Bombyx mori: one gene and its partner. The protein of the gene in region 2 binds, or shares a complex with, the protein of the main gene of each other region. Links are inferred from orthologs where the notes say so. Each region holds a gene or a part of one and is shown on either strand. Other genes may lie near its edges.

Region 1 (10,173 bases), on a different chromosome or scaffold from region 2:
ATGTAATCTCACCGGTCACCTCATTTCGGAAACTTGCTAAATTTTCGTCATCAGCATTCTCAGATTTCACATTCGGCTCATCACTGACTTTGTGCTTCCTTTGTATATGACGGGCATAGGTTTCCCGTTTGCTAAATATTTTCGTGCAAAACGGGCAGTTGAACCATTGATTCGAGGTTGGTTGTACCCCAGAATGTTTTCTTTGTATATGCACTATTAAGCTTCTGTGTTTCTCATAAGCCAGACCGCATTCTGAGCAAACATGTTTAAATGAATCCTCATATTTTCCATGTTTTCTTGTCATATGCATCCGCAACCTTGACTTTCCTTTGAAAACCAACGAGCATACCTCACAAGTGTGGTCCTCATTGTCTTCTTCCACAGACTCAGGTCCGTGTTTTCTTTTAATATGTGCAACTAAACTATTCTTTGAATCATAAGACATACTGCAGTAGTCACATACATGTTTGCAGAACCTCCGAAATACTTTGTGCTTCCTTTTCTGATGCATGAAAAGAGTTTTCTCAGACTTAAAGACTAGATGGCAAACTTGGCATATTATGTTGTCATTAGTTACAGTTTCCGCTTCTACCTTGATTTTCGGACTGCATTTTACAACATTTTTTTCATTGACAACACTTTCAAATGTTAATATGGCACCTTCATGACTTTGTTCTTCGAGTTTAACAATTGGTTCCATGTCCATGATATCGTTTTGTAACGGCTCAGTGTTACCAGCATCATCGGCATACTGCAATATAGAAAAAATATTTAAAAGTATTAAACTAAATAGCTACTACTTCATTTTGGGCTGTACAAAATATTTAATTCAGATATAAAATTTAACTCATAAATACATTTACAAAGTATTAAGCTAGAAAATTATCACATTGGGTTCCTTCACCACTATGGTGGTGAAATCATCAATAGAAAACTAGATTACATATTTTTATTTTTCCGTGTCACTTTCAGAAAATTCAACTGAAAGCAAACATTCATTATATGTGACATCTCAGGGGCACAGCTAAAACGGCAAATATGGAATTGTTCAGGACCACAAATAATATATTTTAGGACCCAAGCCCAGTAGTTCTTAAGACGTTTTTTTTTCCCAGAAGTATCTTAAATAAGAATGTCGCCACCTTATCTCGTTTAAATAATAATTTTAAAATTTTACAATGCATACCATCAGCTTAGCAAGTACTGTATTACATGATATAAGATTTGTGTGTTTTTATGCACATGTATTTGTGATACATCTAAATATATATTTAATTTTGATAGAGGGTGTTGACAAGTGCTAGATGTAAATTACAATGGTTCTTCTTATAATAAAAGTAAATTGATGAAATTAGGAAATAGCAAGAAAGTCCTTGAATAACTACTTAAATATGTTTTCAGATCTCTAAGTATTTACATATTTCTATTTATTCTACTGTTTATAATAAAAATATTGAATTTAGGTATTTTTACAATTTCTAGCTTGAAATATCTATTTATTTATTGGCATATTCTAATCAATATAATAATTGGTAATTAAAATGTTCATTGAGCCAAGTAAGAGTAAAAACTGGATCAAATTTATAAATATGACTATAAGTATTTTTTATTTAGTGGACTGAATTTGCAATATGCTTTTACATTTAGCAAACATACTTTTATATGTCTTACCTCATCGAAGTTCAATTCCACCTCAATATTCTCTACTTTAATATTTACTTCTGGGTCTAAAGCGAATGTTGGCACCTCTGGAAAATGTTTGCGTTCTATTTCCAAATCTTTGAATGGATCTTCCTGGATCTTTTTTTTCTTCTTTTTCTTCTTTTTGAATTCATATGACATCTCCTCCTCAGGTAGGAATGATGTTGGATCCCTTCGCAATGGCTTGTTTTCACTGTGCAGTTTTAGAGACATTATTCTGGAAGATTAAAGAAAACATACTCTTAAGTTTTTAGGTCCACATGAGTAGTTAGTAGCTTAATTCTGCCATATAGTAGTAATGTAGATGTTTAAAGTAATATAGAAGTCATTGCAGCTTAAGGCAGCCAAGTGCATTCATATTGAGCATAGCAAATGTGTCAGTGTTCAAATCATGCTGGTAGATACCAGTTTTTCTAATGAAATAATTTATAATTGTTCATAGTTGACTTCCAAGATGAAGGAATAACATAGTATAATAAAAAAATAATGCTCAAAAATTATCATTTGCAAAATTACTGATGGTGGGGAATCACGTGAGCCCGCACGGATATGTATACCTTCACGGGCTACATACGGCCATAGGGCTCCCGAGTAGGTACCTGTGGTGGTACCCTACCACTCTACCTATTACTGCAGTAAAGCAGTAATGCTTTATGGTTCCAAGGGCGGGGCAGCCATTTTACTGTAAATACTAAGACTTAGAACTCATGTTCCAAGGTGAGAGTATTAAGGTGGTTAATGTCTAAGGGCTCTGGTAACCACTTAACACTGGGTGGGGCGTGAGTTTGTTGATTTTTTTCGTTACATTGATCTAAGAAATATAAAAAAGTGTTGCAGTGTAAAGGGAATGTTATAAACTAAGGATTATAATATGCTATCTGTGCCAGTCTTTAATATATTGTAAGAACAATAAAATTGAGTATCCATTGTAATAGCTTGCCTAGGCCCTTGACGTTTTTAATGAACAATTCATGAGCAACAGTGACAGCTCCCCACAGAATTAAATGTGAATTAATGTTGCAGAAGACCGCCCCAGAACTAAGGGAAAGCAAGATAAATAGGTTAAATACTTGAAAGTATCTCGTCCATCATTGTATTTTAATTTTAAAACACATTTAGTCCTAGGACTATGTAATATAAGTTACACAACTGGACGTTTCATTTACGAACACAATAAAAACTTGAAATCTGAACTATTGTGGGAAGAAATGCAAATCGAGCACTTTGTTGTTTTCCACAAGAGATTTATGAATAACATTACTATATTTTCCAAAACAATCAATTTCCTATTACTGTTTAAAGTACATAGTCAAATATATTAACGATTTTAGTTTACATTTTTTTACGACATAAAATAAGTGACCAGTAAATAATAATAAAACATACTATCCTCAATTTATAAATATTGATTTCAGAGGGTTAAAACAACGTTTTCTAAGAATGTAGAACCTATCGCTCAAATTTAAAGGCGCGAATGCCGAATGCATTAAACACGTCACTCACCAAAAAATAAGAATATATCAGCAATGTTTTTCATTAAAAATCACGTGTTGTTGTAAGATTATCAGTAATAATCACGCATGTTTGCGTAAAATGATCATATTTAACATTTTTTTTAATTGAACTACCTAAGCCTTTATCATAAAAATCAATATTTTATTATCAATTCATTAATATTTTATACAAAATGGCCTTATAGTATAGAAGTCATCATATGATTGACGCTTGAATAATATGACAATTATGACATTTAATTTTTATTATTGCAAGCTTTACAAAAAATTGCTAATTAAACCAAAGGGTTTTGTATAGAGGCGACTGCTGAAATGTTACAGCTTAAACTATTAATTCACATAGAAGTTATATGTTTAAAATTAATACGTCACTAGCATTTTGGACAGAGAGAGTGAGCTTGTGTTGTTTTATCTATCACACTGAAATCTCAATCTTAGGTTAAACTAAGAAATCAATTTTATTATTATTGAGAGGAACGAAGCTTATCGTCTTAAAATATTTTGGACAGTGAAGTTTTTATTCAATCACGTTTTGACCTTTGCGAGTTTGTTGACGTATCACGTACCGGCCGATGTTATGTCAAACAACGCAATTAATATATAGTATTTAACATGAAGTGAGAATATATATGTACCTATGTATATTAATTTAAATTAAAAAAATTGGATTGTAATTTTACTGCTTTTTTTTAAGGGATTTTATGACCTGGTAACTAAGACTTTTCAGTCATGTCTTATTTTAATTAATATTCTTCTTTTTATGAAAAATGATAATATGGGGTGAAATGAAATGAATTCAAGATGATTAATTTAAGACATTAATCAACTGGGATGAAATTAAATGAAATGAGATGATATGGGATGAATAATCTCAGTAAAATGGTGGTCATTTACTGAGATTTTTTCAGTGGACTTTTTGGAGGATCCCGAGAAGTTACGTCCAGCGGCTTTGTTTCATTTTCCCACATTTGTGCACTTTCACAGATATTAAACAGTTAATAAACCACCGTTATTACACATTTAAACCTGAAGAAACACTAAATAGACAAAATAAAACAAACACACAACTTCACTACTCACGTTCCCGCCAAAAAGTCCTTTAATTTTTGCGGGCTTTCTTTCATCACAGACTATACCTATAAATCAATGGTAGTAGAGAGCTGCCAAAGGCTAAGTATACCTACCTATGACCTACACTACAATCAGCCACAGACTGATATAATAATATCAGCTGACGACAGTCAATAAGTCTCTATTGTCCACATATGTCAACTTCATAGGTAGGTACCTACCTACACCTACTGACTGAAAAATATTCAATGTACATAACCAAAAACCGAATTATTTTATTTTGATTCGAAGTTTTCTCAACAAAGGCACGTTGTGTATCATGCTCCAATTATCAATTAAACGACTTATCTCGTGTAATAGACTGAGTGATTTGCGACGATCGTTTATTGTACAAAACAAGAGAATTCACACTACGAATCGTGAGTATTTACATAGCGTTATATGTTTAGTGCTGACAACAAGAAATATTAATTAAAATGTTATCGGCAGATTTAAAACACGGAGAATACGAATGGCAAGATCCGAAGTCTGAAGATGAAGTGTGAGTATCGCCACAAGCGAAATCTGAAAGGAATTTTGTTACATATATTATCTAGAAAATCTAAAGAGTAGTTACAATTGAAAACCTTAAACGGGGCCTTGATCGAATCAAAACAAAACAATACCATTCTTATTTTTCATATTTTTTATACTAGTTTTTTTGAAATTTCAGTTTCTTCAACAGGTTATGATTATATTTACTATCTTCAGTAAATTAAAAAATTATGTACTTTATATACTAAACACAAAAAAATAAACAAGCTAATAGAATATGATATAATTTTTGTTATGTTTTCAGTATTCATAGATATAAATTTAAAAAATGTTTATATCTAGTAAATATTATTATATTGCATTATTAATATACTAAAGTCATACATTATTAATATACTAAAGTCACACATACATTTTAATATGATTTAAAAGGAAACATATTTTATTTATGCATGAGATGAGATTAAAACTTGTTTTTATAAATGTAGCCATAATAAGTTTATTAATCAAGCTACTAATTAAAGCACAGATAATAAAGGTTATCTCTTGTATAATATATGTGTAAATAGGCAAAAAAAGAAGTACCCTTTTTCTCTTCTGTTAGTTAAGAAAAAGATTTTCTTTGTTTAATGAACAATGGTGTAGATTGCATGGCTATGTTAATCTTCAAATTGATACAAGTACTTAGAGAAATTGGCAATACATGGTGCTAAACATCACTAAAGACTTTGTGTAAATCACATAGTAAATCTAAGTTTCTTTTTTTTTGTTGCTTATATGAGAGGACAAGCTCACAGCCCACCTGGTGTTAAGTGGTTACTGGAGCCCATAGACATCTACAACGTAAATGCGCCACCCACCTTGAGATATAACTTCTAAGTTCTCAAGTATAGTTACAAAGGCTGCCCCACCCTTCAAACCGAAACGCATTACTGCTTCACGGCACAAATAGGCAGGGTGGTGGTACCTACCCGCACGGACTCACAAGAGGTTCTACCACCAGTAATTTAGGAGCCAGGACCTTAGGAACCTTAGAACTCAAGGTGTGTGGCGCATTTACGTTGTAGATGTCCATGGGCTCCAGTAACCACTTAACACCGTCTGAGCTCGTCCACACATCTAAGCAATAAAAAAAAAATGCTTCATTTGTTCCTAGTTATTATTATTAATAATTTATATTTCAGTGTGAACGTTGTATATGTTGATAAAGATGGAGTTAAAATAAATGTTAAAGGGAAAGTTGGTGATAACATTTTATATTTAGCACATAGATATGAGATTCCTATGGAAGGTTTGTAGTGTTTTACTTCAATTATTATTGTTCTTTCTATGACACGGTATCATTCAACACCATAATCTGAATCCAGCCAGTCAAGTTACAATAATGAAATTAAAGTTTAAAAAAAGATTACTTTGTACCTTACATGTTAATTGTTTTGTCCAGTCCAGTAATCTCTTAACACATAACATTAGGTATGCATGTGGGCTTTGGATAATTACTCACAATAGTATAGTAGTATACGTCCGTCTGGTGTAGTGGTAAGTGACATGGTCAAACGGCCGTCTGGTGTAGTGGTAAGTGACATGGTCACTACACAAGGGGGTCGCGGGTTCGAATCCCGCCAAGGGAAGATATTTGTATGATAAATATAAATGTCTTTTCCAGGGTTATGGATGTATATTTAATATATTATGTATGTGTATAATAAAAATCTTACATTTATTTCCCTTATCTGGTACCTGTAACACAAGTTCTTTACGAACTTATCACGGGACCAGTTAACGTGGCGTGATTGTTAGTAAATATTTATTTGTTAGTAAAATAGTATGTATCCATAAGTTAACCATACTTATTAATTACAGGTGCATGTGAAGCTTCATTGGCGTGCACAACTTGCCACGTATACATTCCTCACGATTACTTAGATAAGCTCCCGCCATCGGAAGAGAAAGAAGATGATCTGTTAGATATGGCTCCGTTTCTCAAAGAAAATTCTAGATTAGGTACACATTCTAATAGCATAAGTAAGCAAAAAGAGCGCGCCGTGTACGGGAATTATAGTCTAGCTTTTCTGATGAGAATGTATGATTACTTCGCGGCAGAAAAGCCAAGATGGTAGTACCTACTCATGTGGACTTACATACAGAATGGCCCTAATAAAGGGTGTGATGGTGGAAGTATTCGCATTGTAATGTTCTGGATCTGGTAACCACTTAACACTAAGTGGGCCGTAATTCGTTCACCTGTCTATGCAATAGAGAGTGGTAGCATGTTAATTCTGACCCTTTTCAGCGTTTAGTGTAAAGTGTTTAACGTTTTACTAGATAAATCGCAATATTTTTTATTGCTTAGATGGTTGGACGAGCTCACAGCCCACCTGGTGTTAAGTGGTTACTGGAGCCCATAGACATCTACAATGTAAATGCGCCACCCACCTTGAGATATAAGTTCTAAGGTCTCACTATAGTTACAACGGCTACCCCACCCTTTATACCGAAACGCATTACTGCTTCAAATACCAACTCGTCATTTTGAAGGATAAGGATAAGGATGACCCTCCGCACTCCCTCAAGATAGTGAGACAGCACAGCTTTTAATTTCATTACAATGAGTGCAATTTAAAAAAAACAGTTGTAAAGTTTGCATTTGCCTCCTTTTTTCCCATTTTTTTTCTAGTATTATTTAGATACTGGGCCCAAATCTGAGGCTGCCAATCCAAGTAATTTTTTTTTATTTGCAGGTTGTCAAATTGTTTTAACAAAAGAATTGGAAGGTATGGTAATACAATTACCGAAAGCAACTAGGAACTTTTACGTGGACGGACATAAACCTAAGCCACATTAATTTTAAATACTGGTGGTATTAGAAATGAAGAAAGCATAATTTATTTATGAAGTTACTGATAAAGAAACGTGTGAGCAAAACGAAGCACAGTGAATACAGTCCAGTTATCGTTCCGAGGGGCTGAAAAGTGAATGTTGTATTTAAAGTTGAAGACAATATACTTTTGCTAACATGAAATGAATGATACGTCAAGTTTTTTAGGAATCCGTAATGTATATTACACAAGATGGCTCAGCTCTTTCTAATAATGCGTAGATAATTAGTAACAAAAAAACATTCAGGGTTTTTTAAGTGTCATCTTATCATTGCCCCTTCCTCATCCTTGTTGCGGTTGTGCTCCTTAATGCTGAGGGTAGTGACCTTTACAGAGCATTTTGTTTGGAACATGTTCCTTCATTCTTTTCAGTCCTCTGTGCAGTGGAGAGTGACATTGATGATTGCTATTTCCCTTTACACAATATTAATTTTAACTGGGGTTACACTTCTAAATTGACCCAGAGAATGCACTCACCCATCAGTCTAATTACTCTAATTTGGATCTGTGCTTCAAAAATACTGTCATTACTAAATACCAATTGGCGATCTCATGAGTGAGACACTCACCGGAAGAGATGTAGTGGTGTTATTCTACACCACAACACGCAACTAGTTCCTCTATATTATATTTTCATCTGTCAATATGCAGACTACCTTCAGTCTCAATCAATGTTTACGGGTATTTCCCAAAGGAGTTTTTTAGTCTTGCTCCTAATTAATTATGAATTGGATGGCTTGTTTGATTTAGTGATTATTGACTCTGTCTTCTGTACAGCAGGGTTGGGATTACATTTCTGGACAAAGTCAAAATCTTTGAGATTAGCATTGATCACGGGGGCTGTACCCGAGTCTACGCGTGCCTGTACAGGTCCCACAGCAGTGATGCAGGTTCAGCTCTGATAGAGCATGTGCAAGAGGGGACTAACCGCGTGCTTGAGCAGTACCCATCTGCGGAGGTGGTGGTTCTTGGAGACTTTAACGCTCATCACCAAGAGTGGTTGGGGTCCAGAACCACTGACCTCCCGGGTCGGACTGCCTACGATTTCGCCTTGGCCTACGGCCTCTCCCAGCTGGTGACACAGCCCACCCGTGTCCCAGATATTGAGGGGCACGAGCCTTCTCTGTTGGACCTTCTGCTGACCACCGATCCAGCCGGATACAGTGTGGTGGTCGACGCTCCACTTGGATCGTCTGATCACTGCCTTATCCGTGCTGCCACACCACTCTCTCGTCCTAGTCGTCGAACGACGACCAGGTATCGAAGAGTTTGGCAGTATTTGTCAGCAGATTGGGATGGATTGCGTGAGTTTTACGCATCCTACCCATGGGGGCGGTTCTGCTTTTCCTCTGCTGATCCTGACGTCTGTGCGGACCGTCTTAAAGACGTGGTGCTCCAGGGGATGGAATTGTTTATTCCCTCCTCTGAAGTGCCCGTTGGGGGTCGCAGCAGACCCTGGTATAACAATGCCAGCAGGGATGCTGCACACCTCAAGCGGTCCGCATACGTTGCATGGGATGATGCTAGGAGACGTCGGGATCCTAACATCTCAGAGGAAAGGCGGAAATATAACGCCGCTTCCAGGTCCTACAAGAAGGTTATTGCCAGGGCGAAATCGGAGCACGTTGCTAGAATTGGCGAGCGACTGAAGAGCTATCCCTCTGGGAGCCGTGCTTTTTGGTCGCTCGCCAAAGCTGCAGAAGGTAACTTTTGCAGGTCTAGTCTCCCACCACTACGCAAGTCCGATGACAGTCTGGCCCATAGTGCGAAAGAGAAGGCTGACCTTCTGGTCAAACTCTTCGCCTCGAACTCGACTGTGGACGACGGGGGTGCCACACCACCGAACATCCTCCGGTGTGATAGTTCCCTGCCGGAGATCTGCTTTACACAGTGTGCAGTCAGGCGGGAACTCCGACTCCTGGACGTCCATAAGTCGAGCGGGCCAGACGGCATCCCTGCAGTGGTTCTGAAAACGTGCGCCCCTGAGCTGACGCCTGCGCTAACGCGTTTGTATCGCCTCTCTTATTGCGCTAACAGGGTTCCGTCTTCATGGAAGACTGCCCACGTCCACCCTATCCCCAAGAAGGGTGACCGGTCGGACCCATCGAGCTACAGGCCTATCGCGATAACTTCCTTGCTTTCCAAGGTGATGGAGCGAATAATTAATATACAACTCCTGAAGTATCTGGAGGATCGCCAGCTGATCAGTGACCGACAGTACGGTTTCCGTCACGGTCGCTCAGCTGGCGATCTTCTTGTATACCTTACTCACAGGTGGGCTGAAGCCTTGGAGAGCAAGGGCGAGGCTCTTGCTGTGAGCCTTGATATTGCGAAGGCCTTCGACAGGGTCTGGCATAGGGCACTTCTGTCGAAGCTACCATCTTACGGAATCCCCGAGGGTCTCTGCAAGTGGATCGCTAGCTTTTTGGATGGGCGGAGCATCACGGTCGTTGTAGACGGTGACTGTTCTGATA
Region 2 (10,095 bases):
ATATATAACATAATGAACTTTTCCTTGTCTTCATATGTGCTATAAATATCCAAGACAGGAGGAAAACACTGCTAGATCTCTATTTGTGGGCACTGGAACAAGTTGATAACAATGATAACTATTAAAAAGAAAATTACTTATTTTCTGGTTAATTTAAAATTGTTAACATTCCACAGAATTCAGCAACTTGATCAATTATTTGAGCTAATGCAAATGTGAAGTGTATTATTAGTTGCTTACGCATAATAAAACTTGTTTTGGCTGGCCTTAGTTGTGAATAGTCACTGTACCTTTGCAGTCAACATTAAATAATTTTGTATCACAAATGTTATATTAGCAATTTTGTATACATATTATATTAATATAATCAATGCTTGTATAATTTATTGCAGTGTGATCAATTAACCACCTATATATCTATTGAAGCTTTAATATTGTGTCATTTTTGTTTTGTTTCCGTCCATTAAGCAGTGCAGTATATATAGTGTTATATTGTATGTGTATTTCAAAAGTATTATTAATTAATAGCTAGTATTCTTTATGGGAAAATATCAATATTTCAAATAGACAATAAGATACAGTTTTTTAATTATTATTTTTATAAATATTACTGGATGTTTATTTTAAGACAACATTTCGAAGCTTTTTTATAAATCAAATATTGTGGTGTAATTTATTGAATCTAATACATGTATTAAAATAATAAAAGAAATTTCAACGCAACTTCTATTTATTGTTAATAAAAATAATATCACACATTTCATAACTTGTGTCTTCTGTACATTTGGTACATGATTCTTTTTTATGCAGGAATTTCATTAAAATGTCGTATTTTATAGACATTTTAAACATATCTCCTGTCCTATTTTAAATGATCTTTTTTCCATTACACTCTTGCATAAATACACATTTCGAACCAGATCTTTGCAATCTTATTAAATAAAACAATTTCCTACGTCTAGATTTGGAATATTTTTAACTTTTTTACGTTTTAATGCTGCGACCATTGAATTGTCTTTATATCTATGCCTTCTTGTACCATCTCCCAGAGTGGACTCATTTCTCTTAATCGTTCAACATGTCTTATCGTCTTTTCAGCTGTGTAGTCTACTTCTTCGATTGTTGTGAAGCGACCTAAACCAAATCTATAAAATAAATGTAATATAAAATTAGAAATAATGTAAAACTGAAAACTTGTAACTGATGATTAACTAACTTATTTAATTTGTCAGAATATGTTATACCTTATTGAACTATGGGCTAAGTCTTCATCAGTTCCTATTGCTCTTAAAACATACGAAGGTTCCAATGATGCAGAAGTACATGCTGAACCACTCGACAAGGCTACATCCTTTAAAGCCATCAACAAAGATTCACCTGTGAGAATCAAAATTAAATAAATAAAAGTTTCTCTTTTTTCATTAATTGCATAATCAGAAAGTAAGATTATAAATAAATATTGTGCAAAGATTACAAAGTTATTTCTATTGTTCCATTATTAATTGAATAACACTTGATAATGTAAACAAAAAAAAAATTCACTAGACCTTCAACAAATGCAAAAGATAAGTTTACACAGCCTGGATATGTTTGTTCAGCATCTCCATTTCTTATCACATGTGTCAGCTTAGAATTAATCTTTTCTAAAAACCTTTTAGATAATTTTTCCATCCATAAATGATCATATGCCATTTCACGTCCGGCCAACTCACATGCAGCTCCTAAAATACCCAAAAAAATGATATTTAATTTAAAAATTTAAGGCGTATTAAGGCTTAGTTACCTACCCTAAATCAATAAAATAATGTAAGTAACTAAGCTGTATTTTGGTGTTTAAATACACAGGTCTTATCATTTTCATCATGAATTCATTACTGGTTTTTCTTAGGCCATTAATTAGATATTATCTATTATATCTTTCCTTTCTTTTATTATATCTATACTTAGACTATTATCTAGCCCTATTAAACTACTACTAAGACTTGTGTCAACATCCATCAGTACATCGTCGCATTTCTGTATAACTCTCCTTCATTATTATCTCAAGTACTGATTGCAGGATGTAATGTCTGCTCCAACACACCTAGTTTCACTCGCATGTGTTAGGATGAGCGTCAGTTTTTTGATGAAATACTATACATTATTTATTAGAACCGGTAAACAAAAAAGGGATAGATTTTCACAACTTGTCTAAATCTGGGCTGCAGTATCTATTTATGGCGTTTACAGACTAATAACTTTTTAATAGATGTACTGTGAACATATCTATGGTAATAAAAACATTGTCAACGAACCTAATCCCACAACAAGTGGTGTGGGTACAGTTCCACTTCTCATGCCTCTCTCCTGTCCACCCCCACTCTGTATTGGCTCTACGCGCACTCGAGGCCTCCGCCTAATGTATAGTGCGCCCACGCCTTTAGGTCCATAAACTTTGTGTCCAGAAATCGACATCAAATCAATGTTCATTGTGTTAACATCCAAAGGTACCTTTCCAACAGCTTGGGCAGCATCAGTATGAAAAAATACTTTCTTGCTTTTGCATATTGCTCCTATAGCTTCAATTGGTTGTCTAACACCTGCAAATATTACACACACATATTATTACATATAAGTTATATAGATTTATGGTGTACACACCTCTGTGCTAAAGATTTTATCTTTTCAATAAATTTGTATTAATAACCCAATTGTTTTACGGGATTTCATAAAAAAGATTATCGTTGTAACTTATATTGTCCGACAACTGACTTAAGATTGTATTACTTTTAATCGTAAATATAATAATTAATTATATTTATGTCTAAATTGTAAATTGTGTAGTTATGGAAAGTAGCGAGCCATTTCCACCATAAGTAGGTATCTATTAGGTTAATTATTAGGTAGGCTCAACACAAACTATCTCTATAAAATTAATTTGGAAATAAATAACATTTTTATTTTATTCAATTAGATTCGTAAAATGCATGTTGTTGTAAAAAATAATCGTTGTTTGTAGTTTTCACAGCACAATTGACTGTCATTTCGTAGGTTGGAAAAGAAGCGCATGGCTCTCTTGGTCCAAACTTCACAACGTGCCACTACTCACATTAATTTCCGGATGGATTTCCATCTATTGTGTGGTTATCTCACCCTTCAAACCGGATGGAATGCATGACTGTTCTGTTACAAAAATAGACAGGGTTGTGGTAACTACATCTCATGGAAAGAGATTGGGTGGTGCTATCTAGACAGATACACCGTACTTAGCCACAGTTTTACAATCCATAAAGTTCAGAAAGTAATGTACTTGCGCGTAACGGCGGGGAACGGGCAGGGCGACGCGGATCGCGGCCCTCAATTGCGCTTACTTTGCGCACTCAAACTCTGAGAGCAGATCGGACCGCATGCATCGCAAGAAAGTTTTGCGAGAATCGTTTTTTATTACTTTCATTAAAATGGTGCACACTTGTGCCAAATGTGCATCTACAGCAAAATAAAACAAGAATCATGCTTGCGATTACATAGATTTCTCCGTGGCGACACGTTATTTTTTTATTGCTTAGATGGGTGGACGAGCTCACAGCCCACCTGATGTGAAGTGGTTACTGGAGCCCATAGACATCTACAACGTAAATGCGCCACCCACCTTGAGATATGTTCTCAGGTCTCAAGTATAGTAAGGAGCTAAGTTTATTTCTATAATTTTGTGTTACCTTACCAAATATCATCTTTCAATAGAAGTTACAAAAAATGTAAACAAGCTTAAACATTGAAACAGCCAATCTAATGATGTAATGAACTAGAAAACCATTTAAGACAGAATTTTCCACTCATTTGTTGGAGACAATATTTTAGAGAAATTACTTAATTAACATAGTAAGTAAAGTAAAATTTAAATCACAGCTATGCTCCTGTTTCCCTCAAAAATTTATAAGATCGGAATGCAAATATAATACTTAATTAAATTTAATAATATAAATCTGAAAACACCCAATAATAAAGTGACATGTAACTATCTGGCAGCACAACACATGTAATGTAATTAGGTATGTACTTATAAATAAATGATTGTAATAATTACATATATTACAAGTCTTGGAATTTTGTATTTGATAGCGTAAGTACCTACCCAAGGGCTAGGGGTCGTCTGAAATCAATGGATTCAGACTCATCTCAAATGTATGGATTGTAAAACTGTGACTGAGCCTCTAGGAGGCCTGTAATACTGAATATTAAAAAAATATAATCCCACATAAGTAGTTGATATTACCCTGCCAATTTCTGGTACAGAGCCGTTATGCATTAAGTTTGAAGCTTGAGACCACCATACAATTGAAGTGAGACAGCAATATCATGTCTCGAGGGGAGTAATTGATGTTACTTTGAATGAAATATTAAACTTTTATGATAATGCAAATTGTCAAACAATTTTATTTTATTGCAAGGTCAGATAAAGTTTATAATTTATTTACATTACTGTTAAATTATAAAATATTACAAGTTAATGATGATAAGACAATGTCAACAAATTTTTGGATCTTGAGGTTAAATTAGTTTATTAATGTTCCTTGCTATCATATCACACAATATATTTAAAGTTGAAAGGTTATTAATATATAACAAATTAACAAAAAAATATAAACATTACAGAGATTACAAATCACAATAGCACATAATGAAAAAAGTTTACATGTTTACAAACCTATTTCATTATTGACAGTCATTATAGATACCAAACTGGTTTCTGGCGTGATGGCATCTTCCAAATCCTTTAAATTTATAATTCCATTCTGTTGGACTGGTAAATATGTAATTCTGAAACCTTCACCTTCTAAAGCACGACATGAGTCTAAAACACATTTGTGTTCCTGAAGAATAAAAACTCCATTATTACCAAAATATAATTTTTGAAAAAAAAAAAGCAACAATGTAATCTTGTGACTATAGTGTAAGTGTAAACTTGTGTTAATAGACAGACTAAATGAAAATTACAACGACTGAAATAAATAATAAATAACGACGCTTGAAAGGCAAATGTGACTAAGCGACAATAACTGCTTTGTATGAGGCCTATGTCTATAATAATATGAATGATAGGCAATAACCATATTCGATGTGCAAAAAATATATATTTCTAGGTCTATTAAATTCATTTCAATCCTACAGCTAGATTCATTAAAATATAATTTTTTTCGGGTATTTCAACTTTAAATTAGTCTACTGTAAAGTTCACGCATTGTCGCTTAGTCACGTTTGCCTTTCAAGTGTCGATAAGTTCATTCTAATGGCTATGAATCAATCTTTTACTTAGCTATTATAATTTATGCAGTGAGTTAAAAATATAATGTTTATTATAGAAATTTCTACTACTAAAGGACTTTTTTGAATAAAAATAATTAAAAACTTACAATTTGAGTAGTAATGACATGCTTTTTTCTTGGTGCATAAAATCGACCCACACCTTTAACAGATATGTTATTTGATTCTGTTGCTCCTGAAGTAAATATAATTTCTTTTGGTTCAGCATTTATTAAATTTGCCACTTGTTCTCTGGCTTTTTCAACAGCAGCTTCACTTTCCCATCCATACGCATGAGTTCTTGAATGTGGATTGCCATGATAACTTACTAAGTATGGTAGCATTACATCAAGAACTCTAGGATCCTGAAGTTAATTGCACTTAAATCTCCATTCATAAGTGATATGAATAAATGTAAAATTTTCGTATCATGTTCTACTTACCATTGGTGTAGTGGCTTGAGCATCGAAATACAAAGGCCGGCCAACTTCCTCATGTTTTAATGAAAATTTGTCATTTGCTGAAACATGTACTGATTTTAACTTTTTATAATAAATTTGCAACAAAATTAAATTTTGCAGTAAATGTTTATTGAATAACAAATGTATTTGATGTGGGAAGTTGACACGTAATGTATAATATTCCATGTTTACTCAAAAAATTGTGGCAATTGTGATGTAAATGATTAGCACATTTTGTTGATAGGGTAAAAATCAATAATATAGCGTAACTTTGTATAATATTATGACATTGAATATACACTATTAACTTAAACCTTAGAACATAGAAATTAGATACAAAAATAAGTAGGTATAATACTAATTAAATCATGGTAGTTTACCAGAATCGGAAAAAAAATTGCTTTGCTCAAATATAACAACGCCGTTTCCATTTAATTGGGTTTTCTGTTTTATTGCGGATTTACAAACCACCGAAATCACGTTTTTTGTCAAACGGAACATTTTGAATGAAATAAATTAAACAATTTTGCAAGTTTAAAAACAAGCAATTCTTAACCAGAGTCTTGACTAAAATAATTTCGAATTCATATCATTCATTCATATGATTCAATCGTGTGATTGACATTTGTTTTTTTTTTTAATTTATTTACGGCCAACGGTTACAAGACCTTATAGACTATTGACACTTGTTGTCAGGGCAGTGTGACCAGATTTCATTTGATGAATCTACTGCTTGTGGAGGTTAAAATCTACTGAATTCTACCAAAAGAGAAAGAGAAATACTAAAAATCTATTATACTTTTTTTACTGTCGTGTTACAATGTAAATTGTGAAATATTGTTATGTGTATATAACAATTAATTATTTTAATTTAACAATAAAATATAATTTAACAATAAACAATAAAATAATAAAAAGAAACCACAATTAATTAAAGAGACAATGTTCTTGTTTAAATTAAATTCTAATTAAAAATATAATTTTCGTCTTTAGGTTGGGTAACATTTGCATAAAGTTGTTTTGAGTGGACTTTTGGCGGGAACGTGAGGAGTGAAGTTGTGTGATTTGTTTTATTTTGTCTAGTTAGTGTTTCTTCAGATTTAAACGTGTAATAGCGGTGGTTTATTAACTGTTTAGTATCTGTGAAAGTGCACAAATTTGGGAAAATAAAACAAAGCCACTGAACGTAACTTCTCGGGATCTTCCAAAAAGTCCACTGAAAAAGTCTCAGTAAATGACCACCATTTTACTGAGATTATACTTCATCCCATATCATCTCATCTCATGTCATTTCATTTCGTTTTCATTTCACTTTATGCCATGTTTCATCATAATCAACTTCATTTCATTTTATAATATCATTTTCATTTATAAAAGTTACGTATCATTAAAATTAAAATAAGACTTGACCTAAAGGTCTTAGTTACCAGGTCATAAAATACCTTAAAAAAAAAAAGTTGTTTTGAGTCCATTGATATCTTGTACTTCTGTCAGGATCAAATGTGTGACATCAACTGTCATAGCCCCTCTTTTTCATGCATTAGGTATTGCAGCAACATTCTTATTATTAAATCGATTTCGATCTTGATTTTTAATCCTATATTAATAGGATATTAATCAGAAATTATTCTTTCTACTTTGGCTGACAGATTTGGCTGACTTCACTCCAAAATTTATCCACCATAAAAGTTTCAGACGTCGAACTAGAAGTTGACAATAAATTAGACACGGAAACATCTAACTTTAATTCCCTATTTTCTTTGTCAACAATTTGCAGGTTTTGTGCTGCGACTACAAGGTATCGTGATGAATGGGACGTCGCGATATCCTTATGTATATTTATGTTTCATTTTAAGCTCGATTATAAAAATTCTCAATGAAGGAATTCCCACTAGTCTATCACACTATGCTCACGGCACGAACGGTAACGAAAAGAATGAAAATTAAATAGTTACAATCCATTCGATGAAAGGGGGAATTTATCCGTTATGCCAAAAAGTACTAGATTAAATGAAAAGCGTGAATTCTACTAAAATATACAAAATAATTTTTACATACTAAATTGTGTTGCCAGTACCTCAAAATCTACTAAAAAAGTAGAAATCTACTAAATCTGGTCACGCTGTGTCAGGGTGCGATCTGAGACCAATGAATCGAAGAATCGATTTTTTATCGAGTCTATTCCACACTGTACAGAACCAAGACAAAATTTTGTATGGAATGCAATGCAAAAAAATTCCAGTATCATGTAAATCTGTACTGGATATCTAATCGTGATACTTCATTATTTTATCTCATAGGCATGGTGGTGGTACCTATGTGTGAGCTCACAAGACCATTAATTACGCAAATTATAGTTTTTGCGGGTTTCATTTTTGTTGGACGATGTTATTATTTCATCGTGGGAGTAATTCGTGAAAATATGTGAAGTGCGTATTTCAATAAAAAATGGTACCTACTTTTATGCGGATTTGAACACCGGCACAATCACATCGCGCGATTCGAATGTTGTCTTGTCCTAAACCGCTATATGAAATTAAAGATGCTCGATAGTTACAATGCTTGGGATTTTTTTGTCTTACTTAAATTTAATAAGAAGGTGTAGCCCCCTTTGAAATGCTTGCAAGCCAAGGCTTTCAAAAATATATAAAATATAATATAATGTATTAAAATACATAATATTACAGTGCATTTCCAATATTTGCAAATAAGGACTGTTATATACTCATTGTATTGGAAGTCATAAGATAAAAGTGATAGTTTCACAGTAGTAAGTAAACTTTAGTGTTACAATTATTGCCGATAACACAAGCCGAAGTCTTGCAAATGAATACCAGGTGTAAACACTTGGTGCAGTAATCCTACAACTCAATTTCGCACTTCCTACCCTAGGCACGTCAAATTCAGGGATTATGAAAGATAAAAAGTCTGGTCCCCAGGCCATCAAATTAATAAAAGATCAGATTAATAATGTTTCACAAAACAGTGTTTGATGCAAAATGCCCAATGAGTTTCTGGCTCACTGAATTTGGCCCCTTTTTTGGATTTTCGGATTTTTTAATTTTTAATTATTTGTTCGTCGTTTGTTTTGTCGTTGTCTTTTATTTATTTATAATTAATTAAACAAATGATCACCCTTATGTTGCCCCTTCTTACTTACTTACTTATCTTTATTTTTATCGCTCAGATTAATTCATTTTGATCAATTATCGTTTGTTCGACGACTATTGGTTATTGATTGATCATAAAAAACAAATAAATAAAATAAAAAACGAAGCCTTGTAATATATATCAATCAAGATACTTCTCGATAATAATAATTAAGCTAATATAGACGTAAACAATTTGTTTTTTTAAATAAAATCCTGTTTATAGCGTATATATACCTAGTCAGGTCATAAATTCTGTCACATGTTTAATGTAAAATAATTGAAACAAGTTTATTCATTATGTAACCATTCATATACCAAAATGAACTTAACAAAACATAGATTCTTATGACACTAAAGTTTATTCAAAATGACCTCCGTGATTCTGAATACAGGCCTTCAATCTGCGCGGCCAGTCGTCTATCGCAGCACGAACGAGGTCCATGTCAATATCGGCGGCTGCCTTAATCAAGGATGTATTGAGTGACTCCAAATTGGGATGAGGCTTTGAGCACGCCTTTTCCTCCAAGTGTTGCCATATCTTGTAATCTAACGGATTCAAATCTGGACTGGAGGAAGGCCAGTCTTTGTGCCGGATGAAGTCAATTTCACGCGCCGCCAGCCAGTCTTGTGTGCTCTTCGCTCTATGAGCTGGCGCCGAATCTTGTTGGAATACCCAGTGCCTGTTATTGAACATGGTATGAGAAACAGGTTCCACATGATTCGTCAGGACTGTATTTTGATACACAACTGCATTCGTTTTTACACCTTTCTCACAAAAATGTACCTCTGTTAAGCCCCAATAAGAAACTCCCAACCATACCATGAGCGAGGATGGAAAATGACCTCGTTGGACACGCGGAATACGGTTGCTCGCTTCTTCACTACTGTGTGCGTACACCTTATCATTTTGTTTGTTGTAGCTCTCTTCTACGGTAAAAAATTTTTCATCCGAAAAAAGAATTTCCCGATATTTTTTTCCCGCGTACCGCTTCAACAAAGCGCGGCATCTCTTCAGTCTCAGGTCCATTAGACGAGCATTCAAACGATGTCCTGTTTTTCTTCGATATGCCCGAAGCCCTAAGTCTTCATTTAACACCCTTTTCACCGTGGTTCTGCTTAACCCCATCTGAAGGACCAACAGTTTCTGCTTACGTTTGGGATTTCTTTGAATTCGCGCCTTCATAGCTTTTATCACTGCTGGA

The links.
Region 1: the proteins of cysteine desulfurase, mitochondrial (region 2) and adrenodoxin-like protein 1, mitochondrial are in contact, whole or in part, in a cryo-EM structure (PDB 8RMC), measured with the Homo sapiens proteins. The link is inferred for Bombyx mori from reciprocal best matches to the Homo sapiens genes NFS1 and FDX2. Residues at the interface, in NP_066923.3 of Homo sapiens: Gln153, Lys157, Leu160, Asp161, Arg164, Ala168, Tyr175, Ala384, Ser385, Leu386, Glu387, Pro388, Tyr390, Arg393, Gln456, His457; in NP_001384335.1 of Homo sapiens: Ala104, Cys105, Glu106, Ala110, Cys111, Pro141, Leu142, Ile169, Thr170, Arg171, Asn172, Phe173, Tyr174, Val175, Asp176, His178, Lys181.

What each region holds. Positions count from the first base shown.
Region 1 is NC_085130.1:1,945,658-1,955,830, reverse strand, and holds the start of adrenodoxin-like protein 1, mitochondrial, read left to right. Parts: upstream 1-4,404; 5' UTR 4,405-4,605; coding exon 4,606-4,705; intron 4,706-4,775; coding exon 4,776-4,827; intron 4,828-6,004; coding exon 6,005-6,111; intron 6,112-6,683; coding exon 6,684-6,824; intron 6,825-7,561; coding exon 7,562-7,665; 3' UTR 7,666-10,173. Other genes in the region: zinc finger protein 62 homolog, read right to left, coding at 1-751, 1,672-1,914. UniProt on the Homo sapiens protein: Electron donor, of the core iron-sulfur cluster (ISC) assembly complex, that acts to reduce the persulfide into sulfide during [2Fe-2S] clusters assembly on the scaffolding protein ISCU.
Region 2 is NC_085110.1:10,986,093-10,996,187, forward strand, and holds cysteine desulfurase, mitochondrial, read right to left. Parts: upstream 6,438-10,095; 5' UTR 6,243-6,437; coding exon 6,122-6,242; intron 5,801-6,121; coding exon 5,724-5,800; intron 5,646-5,723; coding exon 5,391-5,645; intron 4,851-5,390; coding exon 4,685-4,850; intron 2,580-4,684; coding exon 2,295-2,579; intron 1,722-2,294; coding exon 1,548-1,721; intron 1,378-1,547; coding exon 1,245-1,377; intron 1,146-1,244; coding exon 992-1,145; 3' UTR 713-991; downstream 1-712.